Linked DNA regions of Sus scrofa. The protein of the gene in region 1 purifies or fractionates together with the protein of each later gene. This does not show direct contact. Links are inferred from orthologs where the notes say so. Each region holds a gene or a part of one and is shown in the gene's direction. Other genes may lie near its edges.

Region 1 (9,463 bases):
AAGGGAGGAAAGGCGGCCCAGGGCTTTCTGTCTTCCGTGGGTGGCGGGTGTGCTGTGCAGGACAGTGGAGCGGACAGGAGGGCCGCCCAGGGGGTGAGGCCTGTGGGCCCCAGTGGGGGACGGGGATTGTGCAGTCAGTGCCAACCTTGCCTTTCAGACCTGGGCCTGTCCCCACACCTCACAGCGCTCATGGCAGGCGGGCAGCCCCTGGGGAACAGCAGCAGCACGGGGGACACCGGCTTCAGCTGCTCTCAGGACTCAGGTAAGCCTCTCGCCTTCCCGCTGGTAGGAGCTCATGGGAGGGCTGGCTCCCAGGATGTAAGGGACAGGAGTCAAGGGTTTCTAGTCATGGTTTTTATCTCTCTCTCTCTCTCTCTCTCTCTGTTTTTTTTTTTTTTTTGTCTTTTTCTAGGGCCGCATGTGTGGCATATGGAGATTCCCAGGCTAGGGGTCGAATCAGAGCTGTAACCAGCAGCCTATACCAGAGCCACAGCAACGCTGGATCCGAGCCTTGTCTGTGATCTACACCACAGCTCACGGCAACGCCAGATCCTTAACCCACTGAGTGAGGCCAGGGGTCGAACCTGCAACTTCATGGTTCCTAGTCGGATTCGTTAACCGCTGAGCCATGACGGGAACTCCAGTCACAGCTTTTAGCTTTCTAGCATCTCTGTGCTTCGGTTCCTTCCTGTAGATGGTGAGGACCTCAGCTCCTGTGCTTCCTGCCACCCAGTGGGGTTGTGAGATGCAGATTAAGTGAAAACCTTTGAAAAGTTAACATGTTAAGCTATTGTGAGTTGTTACTTGAGTTATAATAACTGCTGGCCTATGTGGACTCTGGCTGGAGTCAGCCAGCCCAGGTTTTCTTCTCAAATTGGCTTCTCAAGAACAGTGTTGAGGCAGGCTGCCTGTCTGTCTCTCTTTCTTTCTTTCTTTGTGTGTGTGTGTTTTTAGGGCCTCACTTAGGGAGTATGGAGGTTCCCAGGCTAGGGGTTGAATTGAAGCTGCAGCTGCCGGCCTACGCCAGAGCCACAGCAGCGCATCATCCGAGCCAAGTCTGTGACCTGCAACGCCGGATCTTTAACCCACTGACTAAGACCAGGGGTCGAACTTGCATCCTCATGGATACTAGTCAGGTTCATTACCACTGAGCCGTGATGGGAACTCCCTGCTCGTCTCTTTCCAAACCTTTGAGTTTCCCCATTTGTGATCTGGTACAACTGTCCCTCTGTCAGGGCAGAGTCAACAAGGTCGGGTGCCCTGTCACTGTTGTTACATGCCCTGCACCTGCCTGTGGGGAGCTCTGTCTCCCCGAAGAGACATCTCTACCAACATCCTCTAAACTCTCCCTGGAGCTGTTCCCAGGGGTTGGTGCAGACCTGGGGCTCCTCCCCTGAGCAGGGGGCTCTGTGATGTCACAGTCTGCGCCTGGCTTCCAGGCAGCCGAGTGCCACATCTTATGCTCAGATGACTGCGTCACCTCACCAGGCCCTAGGTGAGAGGCTTGTAGGCAGTGGCTGGTGGTGTCCCTCTGCCAGTCATTCATGGAGCTGACAGAGCAGCTCTTTGGGGGCTGTGTGAGTCTGAGTGTCTGTCTGAGTGCTGGGCACATGTGTGCTGGGGACGTGTGTGACAGACTGGCATCTGTCCATTTGAAAGGAGGGTGCCACGTCCTGGATCTCAAAGCACAGGCTTCCCTCTGTCCTCCTCCTTCTCTGCTGCTGCTGGAACCTTTGAAACGTCCTCTCTGCCTTGAGCTGTGTTTCCTGGCCTGAGCCTGTGTCATGGAATTCTATGTGTGGGGGCCATGGCCAGGGAGCCAGGCCAGGCCTCCTGTTATGGAGCGTTTCCCCCGGGCAGCCCAGAGGATTGAACCGCTGGTCACACCTTCCCTTGGAGGCCCGAGTCCCTGGTGTGATGTGAAGGACAGGAAGGCCTCTGTCCCTCCTCAGACCCCCGCCCGCTTCTCAGACCCCAACAGGGATCCAGAGGCAGAGTGACATTCGCTCATTAACAAATTTGTTTCTTTATTTGCCCAGCCACTGCTTTGACCAGATACCACACTAGGTGAGAAAGATGGGGTGAGCTGCCCTCACAGGGCTTGCTTTCTAGTGGTGAGGATGGCCATCCTGTGCACTTCAAATGGGCACTTGTGTGGGATGCAAATTACACCTCAGTAATTCTGCTCCGGGAAGCCAAGTGCCACAGGGACACAAAACAGAGTTGTGTGTGCTCTCTGTTGGAAAGGAATTGGTGGGAGGGAACATTAAAAAAGCTTCTCTGAGAAAGTGATGTTAAAACCTGAACAGGCAGAAAGGAGCGAGGGAGGGGACAGGGTTGTAGGTAGTAGAAGGAGCTTGGGCTTTGGGGTCCCACAGACCAAAGTGTGAGCTTTAGCCCCACAGTTTATTAGCTGTGTCCTCACAAGTGATGACTTCCAGTGATGAGGCACTTGCTGTGTGCCAGGCACTGTGTCACATGTGTACATGTTTCAACTCATAATCCTCCCAATAACTCTTAAGAGGTAGATGGAATTACGATAACCATTGTGCAAGCATGAAAAGATGCCAAGGGATTAAATCACCTGCCTGGGATCCTGGATCTGTCCCACTCTTGAACCTGTATGCTTAACCACCATATTACAAGCCTGCCGAAGGAATGTGCCTTTGCAAATCGTTCTTAAAGAACATGTGAGGAGCTCCAGGCTCCTCTTTTTTCTTTTCTTTCTTAGTTCCTTCCTCCTTCCTTCTCTTTCTCTCGCTTTCTTTCTTTCTTAAATGGCCACACCTGCAGCTTATGGAAGTTCCCAGGCAAGGGATCGTATTAGAGCTGCAGCTGCAGGCCTACACACAGCCACAGCAATTCAGGATCCAAGCCACATCCATGATCCATGCTGCAGCTTGTGGCGACACTGGGTCCTTAACCCAGTGCTCGAGGGCAGGAAATCAAACCCACATCCTCATGGACACTCTACCAGGTTCTTAACCTGCTAAGCCACAACGGAAACTCCAGGCTCCCCCTCTTTCCTAATTTCCTAAGCATCAAGGCCTTGAAAGACTGAAGGCTGGTCCCAACATCTGCCCTCCTTCCCTCCCACTCCCCCTGCCCATCAGCCCAGCTCTCTCTAATAGGCCTTCCTGCCGCTTTGCCTTTTCCCTCCACTTTATTTTTTTTTTTATTTTTTTTATTTTTTTGGTCCTTTTAGGGCCCCACCCGAGGCACACGGAGGTTCCCAGGCTAGGGGTTGAATCAGAGCTACAGCCGCTGGCCTACACCAGAGCCACAGCAACACGAATCCAAGCCACGTCTGTGACCTACACCACAGCTCATGGCAATGCCGGATCCTTAACCCACTGAGCAAGACCAGGGATCAAATCTGTGTCCTCATGGATGCTAGTCAGATTTGTTTCTGCTGCACCATGATGGGAACATCTCCCTCCACTCTTTAGGGGACATATTTTTCAATCCCTTCTTGATCCCCAAAGAAGTTTACATTTTCAGGTTTTAAATGTTTATTTAGGACAGCATATTTTAACTAGAAAGCTAGAAATTCAAACTGTAAGAAAAATCACTTGGAGCACAAAGCCCCTTTAATAGGGCCCCCTCCTCCACTCAGCCTGACTCCCCGTGCCCTCCGTTCCAGGTCTGGCACACTCAGCACTTCCAAGTAACCCATCCACCTGGATAACCTTGCTGTATTTTTGGTGTGTTTGAAGCAGCCCCAAAGCTGGCTGCAAACTCCTTGGAATGAAACAGTGTTTCTTGGGCAAATGCTGCAGGGCAGTTAGTCGCCCTTGACGGTGGGTTTGATTCAGTGGGAGAGAGGGATGCAAGGGGTGTTGAGAGCCAGCAAGAAAGGCAATGAGAAGGACTTGGTGGTGTTGCTGGGTTCCGGTGCACATCTGCCCTTGGTTTTAGGAACAGACGTGATGCTGCTCGAGGACTACACGTCTGACGACAACCCTCCCTCGCACTGCACTTGCCCACCCAAGAGGAGGAGCTCGGTGACATTCGAGGATGAAGTGGAACAAGTCAAAGGTTGGTTTCTGTCACTGATGCCTTTAGGAAAACAGGGGAAACGAAAGGATCTTTGGAAAATTCCTTGGCTCTGCCTGCCTCCACCCAACCAGGGCCCCACCTTCGCCCACCCTGATGTCGCTCCCGACCCTGCCAGTCTCACTGGAGTTCTTAGGTTTCCCAGCATCTAAGGCTAGGCAAGCAGTGGCCATGGTGCTGTATGTAGACACACACACAGAGCCACATACACAGCTACACACATGCATGGCACAGAGCTATACACACAGACACGTACACACAGCCACACAAATGCATACACAGCCACACACACGGCTCCACCCACATACACACACAACCCACATACCAGTTCTAGTCTCCCTCCCTCAGGAAGTTGCCTGACTGGATAAAACAGTTTCTGAGCCCTCTGTAGTTTCCTCTCCTTTATGGGTTACGTGTGGTTATAAATCTGAACGTGTCCTTCGGAGCCTCGGCTTCCTCACGTGGAAGACGGAAGCCATGCCCCGCGAGTGCCCTGCTCCAGCAGCACTAAAGGCTGCCGTCTTGAGTGTCTGTTGCCCAGAAGCTGGTAAGGGAGCTGGGATCCTGTGAGAGGAGTGCGTTCGGCTGTAGTCCAGTCCGATGTTTTTCTGCCCTACCTGTTCTGAATTCACCTCTCGGCACACATGTTGCCTCTGGAACTTGGGGTCTGGTTTCCCATCCTTTCCCATCCAGACAGGCTGATCCGAGGAGTGACCAAGGAGCCATCAGGCTGCGCATAGGTGTAAGACTCTCTTTGCCTCTGAATCCCACCGTATGAGGACAGCCACTCGCATGGCTGGGTGTGTATGTGGTGGAGGAGTCCGGGATCTGTAAGACATACATTCTTCAGAAATGCCGAGTATGAAAATAAATATGGGCTGGGTCAGAGCCTTAGGTTCATAATTAGTCCTATCTCTCTAGCACCCCTTCCTGATTCCAGATGAATGGTCATGGATGTCAGGGAGGCAGATGGCAAATTGTCTGCTTCACTGGCAAAGAGGATTCAAGAACAGAGCTTGGACCAGCAGCCTCATGGGCTTTATGATATATTACTCCCATATTTAAAAGAATTTTTATTACAGTTGATTTACAGTGTTCTGTCAATTTCTGCTGTACTGCAAAGTGACCCAGTTATATATATATGTGTGTGTGTGTGTATGTATATATGTATGTGTGTGTGTGTGTGTGTGTGTGTATATATATATATATATATATATATACTTTTTCTCACATTATCCTCCATCATATTCCATCACAAATGACTAGATATAGTTCCCTGTGCTACACAGCAGGACCTCATTGCTTATCCACTCCAGATGCTATACATCTACTAACTGCAAACTCCCAATCCATCCCACTCCTAACCTCTCTCCTGTGGCAACCACAAGTCTGTTTTCCACGTCCATGAGTTTGTTTCTTTTCTGTAGATAGTTTCATTTGTGCCATTTATTAGATTCCAGATATAAGTGATATCATACTGTATTTGTCTTTGTCTTTCTGACTTCACTTAGTATGAGAGTCTCTTGGTACAACCGCTATGGAAAACAGTATTCCCATATTTTAAAGAAATGGATTGAAATCCTCCTTAATCTAGCGAGCCCACACAAGGCCAAGCTTGCTCCATCAAGCCAACTGTTAGGGGACAGCAATTCCAAAGGCACCTTTCTACAGGCAGGAAGGAGAGTGGGCACATGTAAGATGCACCCCCCTCCCGCCAATGAGTGACAGGGCAGGGAGGGGCCACGTGGCCCCCGCAACTCTTTCCCTCTTGGAGAGTAGGATGGAAGTTGCCTACTGCAGAAAACTCGAAAAGTAGGGGATACACCTTTCCCCCCAAGATGTCAGGAGGAAATAAGCAATGAGGTTAATAGTCATAAGGCCCTGGGTATGAAATTGAAGGACCCCTCCCACCCTCCCATCTGTGCCCCATTGTTAGGGGGTAGTAATCCTGGGGGAACCGTTAATGAGCTTCCAGTCCTGAGGGTCTCCATGTGGCTCTGGGGAATCTCTGACCAAGAGTGGAGGGGCAGAGACAACATTCAGGTTTGTGGACATTTACAGCCGTAGCTACTCCAGGGAGCAGAAAGATCAGAGAACTCTTTCAACCATGTAAACATTTGAATATCCTCCTAGAAAGTATTTATTAAGCCTTTTCTACAAGCCAGGCCTAAGCTGGCATCTTAGGAAGAACTGTTTCATTATCACGGTAACCCCCTAAAGTAATGGCTATGCCACGATCTTCTCATTACAGATGAGGGAGCTGAGGTTAGATACATAGCCTCTAAGATTTCCCAGAGAGTAAGTTAAGATACTCCCCTCCCAGGCCAGTTCCAGAATGGCCATGGTCCTGGCCCCCCTCTAACTGTTTTTCTCCCTTCTCTCTCAGAAGCTGCCAGGAACCCTATTCTTCATGTGCGAGCCGACGTGCATAAGTCCTTGGACAGTTACGCAGCCAGCCTGGCCAAAGCCATTGAGGCTGAAGCCAAAATCAACTTATTTGGGGAGGAGGCTTTGCCTGGGGTCTTGCTGGCGGCACGGACGGTGCCAGGGGCTGGCTTTGGGAGTCGCCGGGGCAGCAGAACTCTGGCGAGTCAGAGGCTGCAGCTGCAGAGCATCGACGAGGGGAACATTTTAGCTGCAGAACAGAGATGAGGGCCTCCCCGCAGGATGCCCATTCCCGTCTGGGCCAGGGCCCTGGGAGCAACATCTGGTCTTCAGTCATCAGACGAAAAACCTCTGAACACAACGTCTGTGAGTGACTTCGGTGTCTGTTGTGAGACCCCACCAGGCTTCTTGTGGGCCCCAGTGACGAGACCAGAGGCACCTAGAGCATAAAGAAAAGCAGGTGGAGGTGTGGTTGTGACTTTGTGGGAGGCGGGGCTGAGAGGGGGACTGGTGAGCACGGCCGGGAGGAAACCACCATGTGGGTCGCTTCCTCTTCTTCACAACCTGTGTCCTGGGAGTCCAGCCACGCACTGTCCCAAGGCCTCAGGCGAGCCCTTCCCGATGCACTTTGGAGGACGGCACTTCCGTGTAGTGGGTCTGGGCCGTGTGGGGCCGTCAGTTCTGCACTAAACGGTCCCCAGAAGAGAATCCAGCAGCAGAGCACCCCAGATCCATTTGCCACACGCTGTGTCCTGGTTATGACTTTGCCTTTGGTGGAGACACCTGCTGGTGCTAGAGGGGACAGGCCGGGGGCCCAGGGGGATGTTGTTGCTGAGAACAAGGCCCATCGTGTCCGCCTCCCTGTGGGCTTATTCTTTGATGTTTCAAAAGCAGGGAGAAACCACTGTAAAAGACAGGAGAGAGGCGCAGATACCAGATGTTTCATTTCTAGTTTTAAAAAACAATCCGTTTGGTTAGGACGCACCATGATCTTACTGAGCCCGAACGGGGCCACAGGGCCACGTGCTGCTGGGAAATAGAGATACTGTTGGAATCCTGTCACATAGGAAAACGTCGTGGAATAGATTCTGTTTGTGAGGTTTGATTGACCATTTAGATTAGCTGGCTGCCAGGTGCACAGGGAGTTCTCCCGTAGGCAGCAGCTACTAGTTCCCTGCCCTGGGCAGTTTGAGACAAGAGAGACTTGGAGTGAGCAACCTGCCTTCTGGCCTGGCTCTGTCTTACCTTATCATTTGGGACTTCTGTCACCTCTAGGAATCTGGGAAATGAGATAAGGGATTGGAGAGTTGGATTGAATGGTTGCCAGGATCATTTCTAACTCTGGTCTTTGATGTTTTTGAATTTGTAGCTTAGGGAAAAAAAAAAAAGGGCATCCCATGGACTAACATTTGCACAGTTTTTGTGTGTGGCTTCTCATGTGTGTGTGTGGAGGGGTGGGCTGGTCCAGTTGGTCTATTACGAGCATGTCCTGACACAGTGCCAACCAGCAAGACACATAAATGGGGCCAGAGGGCACCTCCTCGAGGTGAAAGGGGAGCTGCGGATTATGGTTCATATGCTGGATCTTCCCCGCCTCCCGTGAGTCAGGATGGCAGTTGAAGTGGGGGCTTGGAGTCAGGTCTGTGCTGACTGGAACCACCTGTGCCTGCCCTTCAGCCTGAATGATTAAATCAGCCAAGTGCAGGACCTTCCCCGCCTTCAGAATTCCAGGTGATTGGCAAAGGGTAGATTCCAAGATCCAGCTGCGTCTGCTACAGGGGCAGCTGTTCCAGAAAGTGAATGACCTTTGCAGTGTTCTTTGGGGTCTAGCTAGCTCTTGGTGAGGCAGTGTCTCTACTGTGTGGCTGGTCCCCTAGTGTGCAGTTTACAAAAGACTTTCCTGAGACCTGGGGGCTTGCTAACCTTCCCAATGATCATCTGATCATCAACAACCCCTGTGGGTCAGCTGGGTGCCAGGCACTGGTCGGATTCTGGATGAGAGTGGGAAGAAGCAGGTGGCTTTTCCAGAGGAGCAGAGGGCAGTTTCACCTGTGGGTTCTGCTGATAAGATGTGCAGATCAGGGAGTTCCTTTTGTGGCTCAATGGGTTAAGAACCTAGCGAGTATCCATGAGGATGCCGGTTTGACTGCTGGCCTTGCTCAGTGGGTTAAGGATCTGGCACTGCAGCAAGCATAGGTGTAAGTCACAGATGTGGGCTCGAATCTGGCATTGCTGTGGTGGTGATGTAGGTTGGCAGCTGCAGCTCTGATTCGACAGCTAGCCTAGGGACTTCCATATGCTGCAGGTGCAGTCCTAAAAAGAAAAAAGAAAAAAAAAAAAGATGTGTAGATCAGTCAGACTCTGCTCTCACTCCTGGGTGGCATGCCTAAATCTGAGGGCATTTATGTTCCCTATGTGTGATTTTTTTTTTTCCCCTAGCACTTGTCCTTGTCTAGTTTCTAAAGGGGCTATATTCCTGAGCATCTAGTGTGCACTGAGGTGGAACAGGGCAGAGAGACCTTTACAGGCAAGTTAGAGTAACTCACGATGGCCCCCAGGCTAGGCCTTTTTGAGTGCCGCAAAGTGGCTTGCAACCCAAGGGTTGGAGAGTACTTCCCCTGGACTGTAGTTGGCTGGGCTCTAGGGAAAGAGTCCTGGGACCCACCAGGTCCCCACTGGCTGATCCTAGACTAGCTGCGATACACTGGGATTTAATCTAAGCTAATCTAAAAGTACAAAAGCGTTCTCTGTGTTTGCCCTTTTCCGCTGAGGTCTGTTTATTCATCTACCAGGCATCACATCTATGTGCAAAGCATTGTAAACATTGGTTACTACTTGATTACTAACACTGGCTCTGTGAGTAGTAACATTAGAGTGTTTTCACTCTAACATAGGGAGAGACCTGGAGGCGACTGAGGCTAAATAGCAAAGTCAGGTAATGATTATTGAAAGAACTGCAGACTCCAGAGGGAGGTGATTATTTCCAAGTAGAGGAGTTGGAGGCAGCTCCGTGCAGAAGGTG
Region 2 (9,463 bases), on another chromosome or scaffold:
GAGGGTCCCTGAGTAACAGCATGCCTGACCCCAGGTGGTGGTTACAAGGGCAAGTCCCTAACCTGAGAATCCTTCAGACTGCACATTTAAGATGTGAGCCCTCAATGTTTGGCCTGGATTTTATGCCTCCATTCAAAAAATACTTAAGGAGTTCCTTTTGTGGCGCAGTGGAAACGAATCCAACTAGGAACCATGAGGTTGCGGGTTCGATCCCTGGCCTCACTCAGTGGGTTAAGGATCTGGCGTTGCTGTGAGCTGTGATTTAGGTCACAGACATGGCTCAGATCCTGTGTAGTTGCAGCTGTGGTATAGGCTGGCAGCTGTAGCTCTGATTTGACCCCTAGCCTAGGAACCTCCATATGCCAAGGGTGCAGCCCTAAAAAGCAAAAAAAAAAAAAAACTTAAAAGAGGAGTCCCCACCGTGGCTCAGTGGTTAACGAACCCAACTAGCATCCATGAGGATGCAGGTTCGATCCCTGGCCTCACTCATTGGTTCAAGGATCCAGCATTTCCGTGAGCTGTGGTGTAGGTCGCAGACGTGGCTCAGATCCCGAGTTGCTGTGGCTCTGGCATAGGCCAGCGGCTACAGCTCCAATTGGACCCCTAGCCTGGGAATCTCCATATGCTGCCACCCTAAAAAGACAAAAAAAGAAATACTTAAAATTAATAGCTAAGTTTTTGAAAATGCTCTTGAAGTATAGTTCATTTACAACGTGTTAATTTCTGCTGTACAGCAGTGGTTCAATTAAACGTATACATACTTTTTCATATTCTTTTGCATTATGGTTTATCACAGGATATTGAATATAGTTCCCTGTGCTCTACACTAGCACCTTGTTGTTTATCCATCCTATATATAATTGTTCGCATCTGGGAGTTCCTATTGTGGCTCAACAGGTTAAGAACCAGACTAGTATCCATGAGGATGCCAGTTTGATCCCTGGCCCCACTCAGTGGGTTAACATTTGGTGTTACCACAAGCTTCGGTGCAGGTTGCAGATGCGTCTCAGATCTGGCATTGCTGTAGCCATGGTGTAGGCCCGCAGCTGCGGCTCCAATTCAATCCCTAGCCTGGAACTTCCATACTTCTGTGGGTACAGACCTAAAAAGGAAAAAAAAAAAAAAAAAAAGATAGCTTGCATCTGAATGGCTGACATTTATATGGCACTAACTCTGTGCTGGCCACCATCCGAACCCCCTTTGCCAAAATTAACTCATTCAGTCCTCATAACCACCCTGCCAGGTCATTAGTGTTATCATTCCCATTTTACAGAGGAAAACTGAGGCCCAGAAGTGAGGTCATTTGCCTAAGGCCACACAGCTCATCGGGGACTAGGCCAGGATCTGAACTTGATCTTATCCCAGAGTCCTGGCCTTAACTACTTTGTCAGGCCACCTCTGCATTGGCCGGAATGCCTCTTTCAGGTCTCAGTTTACTAGGGTGATAAATGGGGAGAATGGCTAAAAGGAAAGTTGGCAAGTGAACCAAATGAGTCAGTGGACACAAAGCAGCAAGCCCAGGGTCCGCCAAGATGTCTTCAATGCTAGCTGAATGGTGATGTTTGCCTTGGGGTGCAGAGGGGCCTGTAGGGGGTGGGCATCAGGCGAGGCTTCCCTTGAACCAGCTCTGGAATGAGGGCCCCTCTGTTGGCAAAGGCGAGAATGGGGCCAGCTGGGGGCCAAGGCAACAGCTGAACCCCCCCCCAAGGGTGCCTGCTACCCGAGCCCCAGAGGCCTCCACCCCAGGCCTGGCCTCCTCAGAGAAGGGGCCAGAGGAGCAGCCAAATCCGAGGCTATAAATACCACGGCTGGCGTCGTCCCTGGCCGTGGAATGTCAGTCAGAACTGGGGCAAGTGGGGGTGGGCTGGCCTGGGCGCCGCTCTCTGTCCCCCTGAGAGTGACCCCTCGAGTCACCCTGTCTTCCGTTTTGGACAGAATTGAGGCTGGATCCCAGCTCTCTGTAGTATAGAGGACCCAGGCCCCAGCCCAGATCAGGGCCCCCGCCGCCCGCCCGCCCCAAGTTACCCTCAGTTTCAGCCAGGGCACCGGAAGGCACTGGAAGAAGGTCAAGCTCTGGGTTGAGACAATTGCACCCCACTTTCCACAAAGCAGCGCCTCCCCAGGACTAGCCCGGACCCACACTAACAAGATGGGGTCTCTCTCTCTCACCTTTCTTCCTTTCAGTGAAAGAGTTCTTAGCCAAAGCCAAAGAAGATTTTCTTAAAAAATGGGAAAATCCTGCTCAGGTAAGCCCCCTGGGAGGGCTGACATGATGGCCCCTTGATACCCAACTGCATCCCTGGCATGACTGGGATTTCTAGGGCCCTAAGGAGGGCTCCAGACCTGCCCTCATTCACTCCTGAGATGCCCACGGAGGCTCCTGGGCAAAGGCACCTGATCACCCACTGCCAGGCTCCCCCACCCACCACCCTCTTCCAACTGGCGGCCCCTGCCCCCCAGGCAGCTGCCAGCAGCTCCTGGGCCCCAGGCCAGGGCCGGATCTGGCCCCTGCCACCAGCCTTAAGGAATGCGCCCTCTGCCATCTTGTTTTTCCGCCCCCTGTCCTCACCCTCCTGACTCCACCTGGTCCCCAGGGCCCCCTCTGCTGGTGGCACAAGGGATGCCCCAAATTTCAGGCTGCAGGGTAGGTTGAGGGTGGGAGGGGTTGTTCTCTGACCCCCCCAGACCCCTCCGCCCACAGAATACAGCCCATTTGGATCAATTTGAACGAATCAAGACCCTCGGCACGGGCTCCTTCGGGCGGGTGATGCTGGTGAAGCACAAGGAGACTGGGAACCACTTTGCCATGAAGATCCTCGACAAACAGAAGGTGAGCCCAGCCCTGCCACAAGGCCCTGGTCCGACCCACTAGGGCTTTGCCTGGGCTGTTCCCACCACCTGCAGCGCTCTTCCCACCCATCTGCTCACCAGCTATTTCCTGAACCTCCAAAATGTGCCAAATCCAAGGGCAGGAAAGGGTACCACGCTCCTTCAGGAAGCTTCCCCTCCTGGGTAGCCACTGATGCAAATTTAGGCATTAGACCTGGGGTCAGACACCTCGCCTGTATGGAGGAAGTCAGGAGGAAGTGATGTTTACACAGACCTTCTTTCTGTAAATATTTTTGAGACCCTGCTTTTTGCCAGGCACTGCTCTAGAGCAGCACCATCCAGGAGAAATATCACACAAGCCACATACGGTTTTAGATTTTCTAGGAGTTTCCTGGTGGCTCAGCGGGTTAAGAATCTGGCATTGTCGCTGTTGTGGCTTGAGTTGCTATGGTGGTGCAGATTCGATCCCTGGCCTGGGAACTTCTGCACACCACCAGCACAGCCAAAAATAAATAAAGTAAATAAGTTTTCTAGAATCCTAATTAAAATTTTTTTTAAAAAAACAGGTAGAATTCATTTTAACCACGTGTTGTAATTAAGTCAGTATGTCTACAATATTATCATTTCAGCTAATGTAACTAGTGTAGAAATATCATTCATGAGATGTCTTACATTTTTCTTCCACACTAAGTCTTATAAATCCAGTGTGTATTTTACACTTATGTCTCCATTCAGATGTTAATTTTCACTGGAAAGACAAGAAAAAGTGGAGAAGTTGAAAAAGCAGACTCACACAGGGAGTTCCCATCGTGGCTCAGTCGTTAACAAATCCAACTAGGAACCATGAGGTTGCGGGTTCGATCCCTGGCCTTGCTCAGTGGGTTAAGGATCCAGCATTGCCGTGAGCTGTGGTGTAGGTCGCAGACGCGGCTCAGATCCCGTGTTGCTGTGGCTCTGGCATAGACTGGGCTGCTGCAGCTCCGATTCGACCCCTAGCCTGGGAACCTCCATCTGCCGTGGGAACGGCCCAAGAAATGGCAAAAAAGACAAAAAAAAAAAAACCAAAAAACAGACTTACACAGCCCAAATTGTTCCAAACAGGCTTGAAAGTTGTCTGGTGCCTGCACTGAGTATCAGTTTTTAAATTTTAGACACTTCAAATTTTAAACTCAGTTCCACGTTTCAGCCAGCCACATTTCAGCAGACGAGTGGCTAGTGTGGACTCTACTGGACAGTGCAAGTGTAGACCCAAAGGCTGCAGCTGTGAGCAAAGCAGAAGAAAGCCCCAGTGCAGTGGTTTAGCGCTGACCAAAGGGCTAGGCTGCCTGCTTGTGACAGGCGGGCCTGACACTGACTAGCTACACTTGACCTTGGGCAAGTCACTTACTCTCTCTGCATCCAAACTAGCATGCTCTCGGGGCGTACCCCTCCAGGCTCCTGTCACAGCGTGTGAGGCACCTCCTGGGGACAGCTGAGGCCAAGGAGGAACTACCCCAGGTTTTAGGTGGATGTGGTGGGGGGTGGGGGGGTGCTCTAGATGCAGGAAAGGTATTTCTAATCCCTCCACCCCTTGAGTGTTCCTCCTGCCTGTCCAGTTTCAGCTCAGCTGCCCTTTCCTCCAGGAAGCCTTCTCTGATGCCCCCCCTTCCCACAGACTTCACTGGGCACCTTACCTGGGCATCCACAGGCCCTGAGCTTCCCCCACCACAGCTCTGACCCCTGTGACCTGGTGACTGAATGTGTTCTTGCTCTGAACTGCATGCCATGTGGGACAGGCTCCCAGCCCAGGGCTTGACAGGCCCCAGGCACTCAAATGATTCTGGATGAAGGCAGGGGCCCAGCCCTGGCACCCCTGTTTTGGGGCAGCAGGGAAGACGAAGACCCTCTCACACCCCTTCCTCTCCACCCTCCCCTCCTCCCACCACAGGTGGTGAAGCTGAAACAGATTGAGCACACCCTGAATGAAAAGCGCATCCTGCAAGCAGTCAACTTCCCGTTCCTTGTCAAACTCGAGTTCTCCTTCAAGGTGAGGTCCCAGCGGCCGCCACCCAGGGCCACTGTGGGTGGTGCAGCCTCTCGGTTCCCAGAACTGAGGCTGGGCCAGCAACAACCAGTAGCTGCCCAAGAAGGCAGGCCCACTGATGGGGGAGAAGGAGACCCAGGGTTAGGGGTCAAGTCAGCTTAGGGCTCTGACAGACCCAAGTTCAACCAGGCCTGACAACTTCTAGCTTGATAACCTTGGGCAAGTCACCCAACCTCAGTAACATTCCTCAAACTCATCACTCCATTTACAGGAAGAACCTGACACACGGCCATAAAATGTGCCACTCAGCCTAGGTTCAAATCCATGTACTTCCTGGCCGTGTGACCCTGGCGAGGAATGCCCCTGAGCCTTTGTTTCTTCATCTGTAAAATGGGGATCATAGCAGTTTCTACATGGTGGGGTTGCCATGACAGTTCCAAGCACATCATCAAATCGCCCAAGCCCTGTGTGAGCCATCTGGGGTGCTGACGTAAGTGGTGACTGCAAGAGCTGGAAAGGTCACTCAGCTTAGGTCACTCACCCCAGCAGTCATGAAGACCCCACACTTAGTTTAAGGCACTGCTGCCACTGTCTTGAGATTCATAATTAATTTTTTAACAAGGGGCTTCATACTTTTATTGTGGAGAGGGGGTGCCCAGAAATTCTGTAGTCCATCCTGGTCCCATTTGACAGATGATAAAACTGTGGCCCCAAGAGCCTCGCCGAAGATAGTCACAGACATGAACCACTACAGGGTTCTCTCTGCAGCCCGGGCATGCTGGCCAGGTCCCTTATGTACCTCTAGCCAGCCCTTATTACTTTTAGCCCCAATAAGCAGGATACTGGCAATCCCTTCTTTCTTCCAGGCAGTAGGAAATGAGACAGGAGTTCTCTGGTGGCTCAGCAGGTTAAGGATCCAGTGTCATCACTGCTGGGGCACGGGTTTGGTTCCTGGCCTGGGAACTTCTGCATGCCCGTAGACACAGCCAAAAAAAAGGGGGCGGGGAGGAAATGAGACAGGTAATCAGTGAGCACAGCGCCCAGCACTTAGTACGTGCTTCTCGTGGGAGCCAAGATTGTTGTCATTTTATTTCTGAACATCCGCCAGATCAGGGTGGCAGGCCTTCAGATGGGGCCCATGGCTTGGGGAATGGGGCTCTGATCAGCTGCTGCTTCCCGCAGGACAACTCAAATTTATACATGGTCATGGAATATGTGCCTGGTGGGGAGATGTTCTCACACCTGCGGAGGATCGGGAGGTTCAGGTGAGCCAGCCACCCCCTGCCACACTGGGCCTGGGGCTGTCCATGGGCGTCATCTATGGAAGTGGCCTCTCCAGGTTCCTATGGGTTCTTGCCTCTCCCTGAGCTGAGGAATCTCTGATGTCTCAACTACCACGAAATAAAACAAGCATAGTGACTTAGGTGTCTCCATGTGAGTGGGCGAGTTTATATTGTTTTTAAATTTATCCTGTCGTTTCATTTTATTTCTTTTTTGTTTGTTTGTTTGTTTGTTTTTTAGGTCCACACCTGAAGCATATGGAAATTCCCAGGCTAGGGGTCCAATTGGAGCCATAGCCACCACCCACAACACCACCAGATCCGAGCCACGTCTGCGACCTACGCCACAGGTCACAACAACACTGGATCCTTAACCCACTGAGTGAGGCCAGGGATCGAACCTGCATCCTCACAGATACTACTCAGATTTGTTACTAGTCAGATTCGTTACTGCTGAGCCACAGCGGGAACTCCTCATTGTATTTCTTTATACAGATACTCACTTTACACACAAGAAAATGCACAGGTTTTCAATGATCTGTCCCGTGAGTTTTGACAGCTACATGCACTTATGTAACCACTACCCCAAGAAATTCCCTCAAATACTTTTCTTGGCAAATCGCTGCCCCAACAAAGGCAAATGTCCTTTCTGGCTGTAAGCACCGTAAATGTGTTTGGTCCAAGTCTGGACTCAATATAAATGGAATCACACAGTTCACATTCTTCTGTCCTTTCTTCTCATGCCTTCCATAATCACTTTGAGATCCAGCCACACCATTGGGTATATTCATCGTTTGTCCTGGAGGTGGTGTTGGGTAGGATTCCATTGTATGAAGCTTTCGAAATCTGGGATTCCATTTCTCTGTGGATGGACATTTGGGCTGTTTCCATTTTAGAGCTATATGTGAATAAGGCTGCTCTGCTGATGCATTTTGGGTTTTTGTGTGTGTGTGGTTTTGTTTTTGTTTTTGCTTTTTGTGTTTTTCTGTTTAGGGCTGCACTCAAGGCATATGGAAGTTCCCAGGCTAGGAATCGAATCAGAGCTATAGCTGCCTGCCTGCCCCATAGCCACAGCAACGCCAGATCTGAGCCACATCTGCAACCTCCACCGCAGCTTGTGGCAACACCAGATCCTTAACCCAGTAAGTGAGGCCAGAGATTGAACTTACATCCTCATGGATACTAGTCAGGATCTTAACACGCTGAGCCATAATGGGAAATCCTGCTGATGGTCTTTTTTTTTTTTTTTTTTTTTTTTTCCGCTTTTTAGGGCCGCAACATATGGAGGGTCCCAGACGAGGGGTCAAATCAGAGCTATAGCTGCCACCTACACCATAGCCACAGCAACACAGGATCCGAGCCGGGTCTGCAACCTACACCACAGCTCACAGCAACGCCAGATCCTTAACCCACTGAACAAGGCCAGGGATTGAACCCGCAACTTCATGGTTCCTAATCAGATTCATTTCCCCTGTGCTGCGATGGGAACTCTTTTTTTTTTTTTTTTTTTTTTTTTTTTTTTTTTTTTTAATACTGATGCATTTTTGATAGCTAGGCTGGAGGCACCTCTCCAGGCTCACTTGCTGGACCATTTGCAGGAGGTCCTGCTGCTGTGTCCACCCTCACCCACCCATCCTCTCCCCTCTTGTCCCCATCAGTGAGCCCCATGCCCGCTTCTACGCGGCCCAGATTGTCCTGACCTTCGAGTACCTGCACTCGCTTGATCTCATCTACCGGGACCTGAAGCCGGAGAACCTTCTCATCGACCAGCAGGGCTACATTCAGGTGCCCACTGGGCCAGGGGAGGGGCAGCCCCAGGTGACTGTGGCGTGAATCCTCCCTGCCTCCCCACCAACTGCCTGTTCTTGTGCCCACAGGTGACAGACTTCGGTTTTGCCAAACGTGTGAAAGGCCGCACCTGGACTTTGTGTGGGACACCCGAGTACCTGGCCCCTGAGATCATCCTGAGTAAAGTAGGCGCTTCCCTACCCCTCCCACCACCCTGAGACCGGCTCCGCCAGCGCCCCCGCTTCACCCTTCTCCCCTCACCTGCACACCCCCCTCACTCCAGGGCTACAACAAAGCTGTGGACTGGTGGGCCCTGGGGGTTCTCATCTATGAGATGGCCGCTGGCTACCCGCCCTTCTTCGCTGACCAGCCCATCCAGATCTACGAGAAGATTGTCTCCGGGAAGGTGAGGCCTGGATTCAGGGGCTTGGCCCCCAGACAGACCCCTTGCCCACCCATCCTGCTCTCCATGGAGCCCTATGCATTGTCACAACAATCTAGAGGTTCATTAAGCCCGGCCAGGGGGTGATACCAGGCACACCACTTGCCACACTAACTAAAGCCACCACTTCACACAGCCTTGGTGGCTGATTCTAGGACCCACAGTGCCAAAATCCCACAGGTATCCAAAACCCTCAGCCTCACCCAAACTCCTGCCTGGCTCAACATGAGGCTCTTCTCGCCTCTAGTCTAGTCTGGTCGTCCTTAGGGTGAGTTTTCACAAACTTCTCAGCAGAAAATCGAGTACAGAAGTTCCTGTCATGGCTCAGCAGTTAATGAACCTGACTAGTATCCATGAGGATGCAGGTTGGATCCCTGGCCTCGCTCAGTGGGTTAAGGATCTGGCATTGCTCTGAGCTTTGGTGTAGGTCCACATGTGGCTCAGATCCAATGTTGCTGTGGCATAGGCCAGCAGTGTAGCTCCAATTCAGCCCCTAGCCTGGGAACTAGCATATGCCATAAGTGCAGTCCTAAAAAGACACACACAAAAAAAGGCAAGTACATTCAGTTCCCAGGTGCTATCCCACCCCCCCACCTCCTTTCCCAAATACAGACTTTTTCGGAGCACATGGGTGAGGGATGGCACAACTGTTAGAGCCCAGGATGCATTAAGTGCCAGCTGCCCCCATGCACCTCCTGGGTTCGTCGTACCCCAGCACTCCGAGGGAGTGAGGAAGCTGAGGTGCAGAGAGCAGACATGTCTGGTTTGAGATCACATGGCAGCAGCAGCTGGAGAGAGGCAGAGGAACCCTACCTCTGCCCTCTGCTTGCCCACCTCACCTTCACCAGAAGGACCAGCCATCCCTTCATCTGGCCCAGGAAATGGAGTAGCTGGCAGCTCAGCCTGGGCGGGTTGGCCTGACTGTTAAGTTCCAGCTTTGCCATTCATCAGCTGTGAAACCCCAGGCCAATGGCTTTGCTTCTCTGAGTCTCATCTTAATCATCTCAGAACTGGAGAACTAGCCATGGGCCTCTCAGGTTGAGAGAATCCCCATCTGTCAAGTAGGGTCACTGAAAAAGGGAATGATGAGGTGTCTGCCAT

What was found.
Region 2: the proteins of GPR161 (region 1) and PRKACA purify together in Homo sapiens (affinity purification with mass spectrometry; 3 studies listed by BioGRID and IntAct, counting the BioPlex papers as one, with this or other methods). This does not show direct contact. The link is inferred for Sus scrofa from reciprocal best matches to the Homo sapiens genes GPR161 and PRKACA.

Annotation. Positions count from the first base shown.
Region 1 is NC_010446.5:82,896,781-82,906,243, forward strand, and holds part of GPR161 (G-protein coupled receptor 161), read left to right. Parts: intron 1-157; coding exon 158-262; intron 263-3,918; coding exon 3,919-4,038; intron 4,039-6,442; coding exon 6,443-6,708; 3' UTR 6,709-9,463. UniProt on the Homo sapiens protein: Key negative regulator of Shh signaling, which promotes the processing of GLI3 into GLI3R during neural tube development.
Region 2 is NC_010444.4:65,081,746-65,091,208, forward strand, and holds part of PRKACA (cAMP-dependent protein kinase catalytic subunit alpha), read left to right. Parts: intron 1-2,184; coding exon 2,185-2,246; intron 2,247-2,701; coding exon 2,702-2,830; intron 2,831-4,756; coding exon 4,757-4,855; intron 4,856-6,034; coding exon 6,035-6,117; intron 6,118-7,790; coding exon 7,791-7,917; intron 7,918-8,009; coding exon 8,010-8,105; intron 8,106-8,203; coding exon 8,204-8,326; intron 8,327-9,463.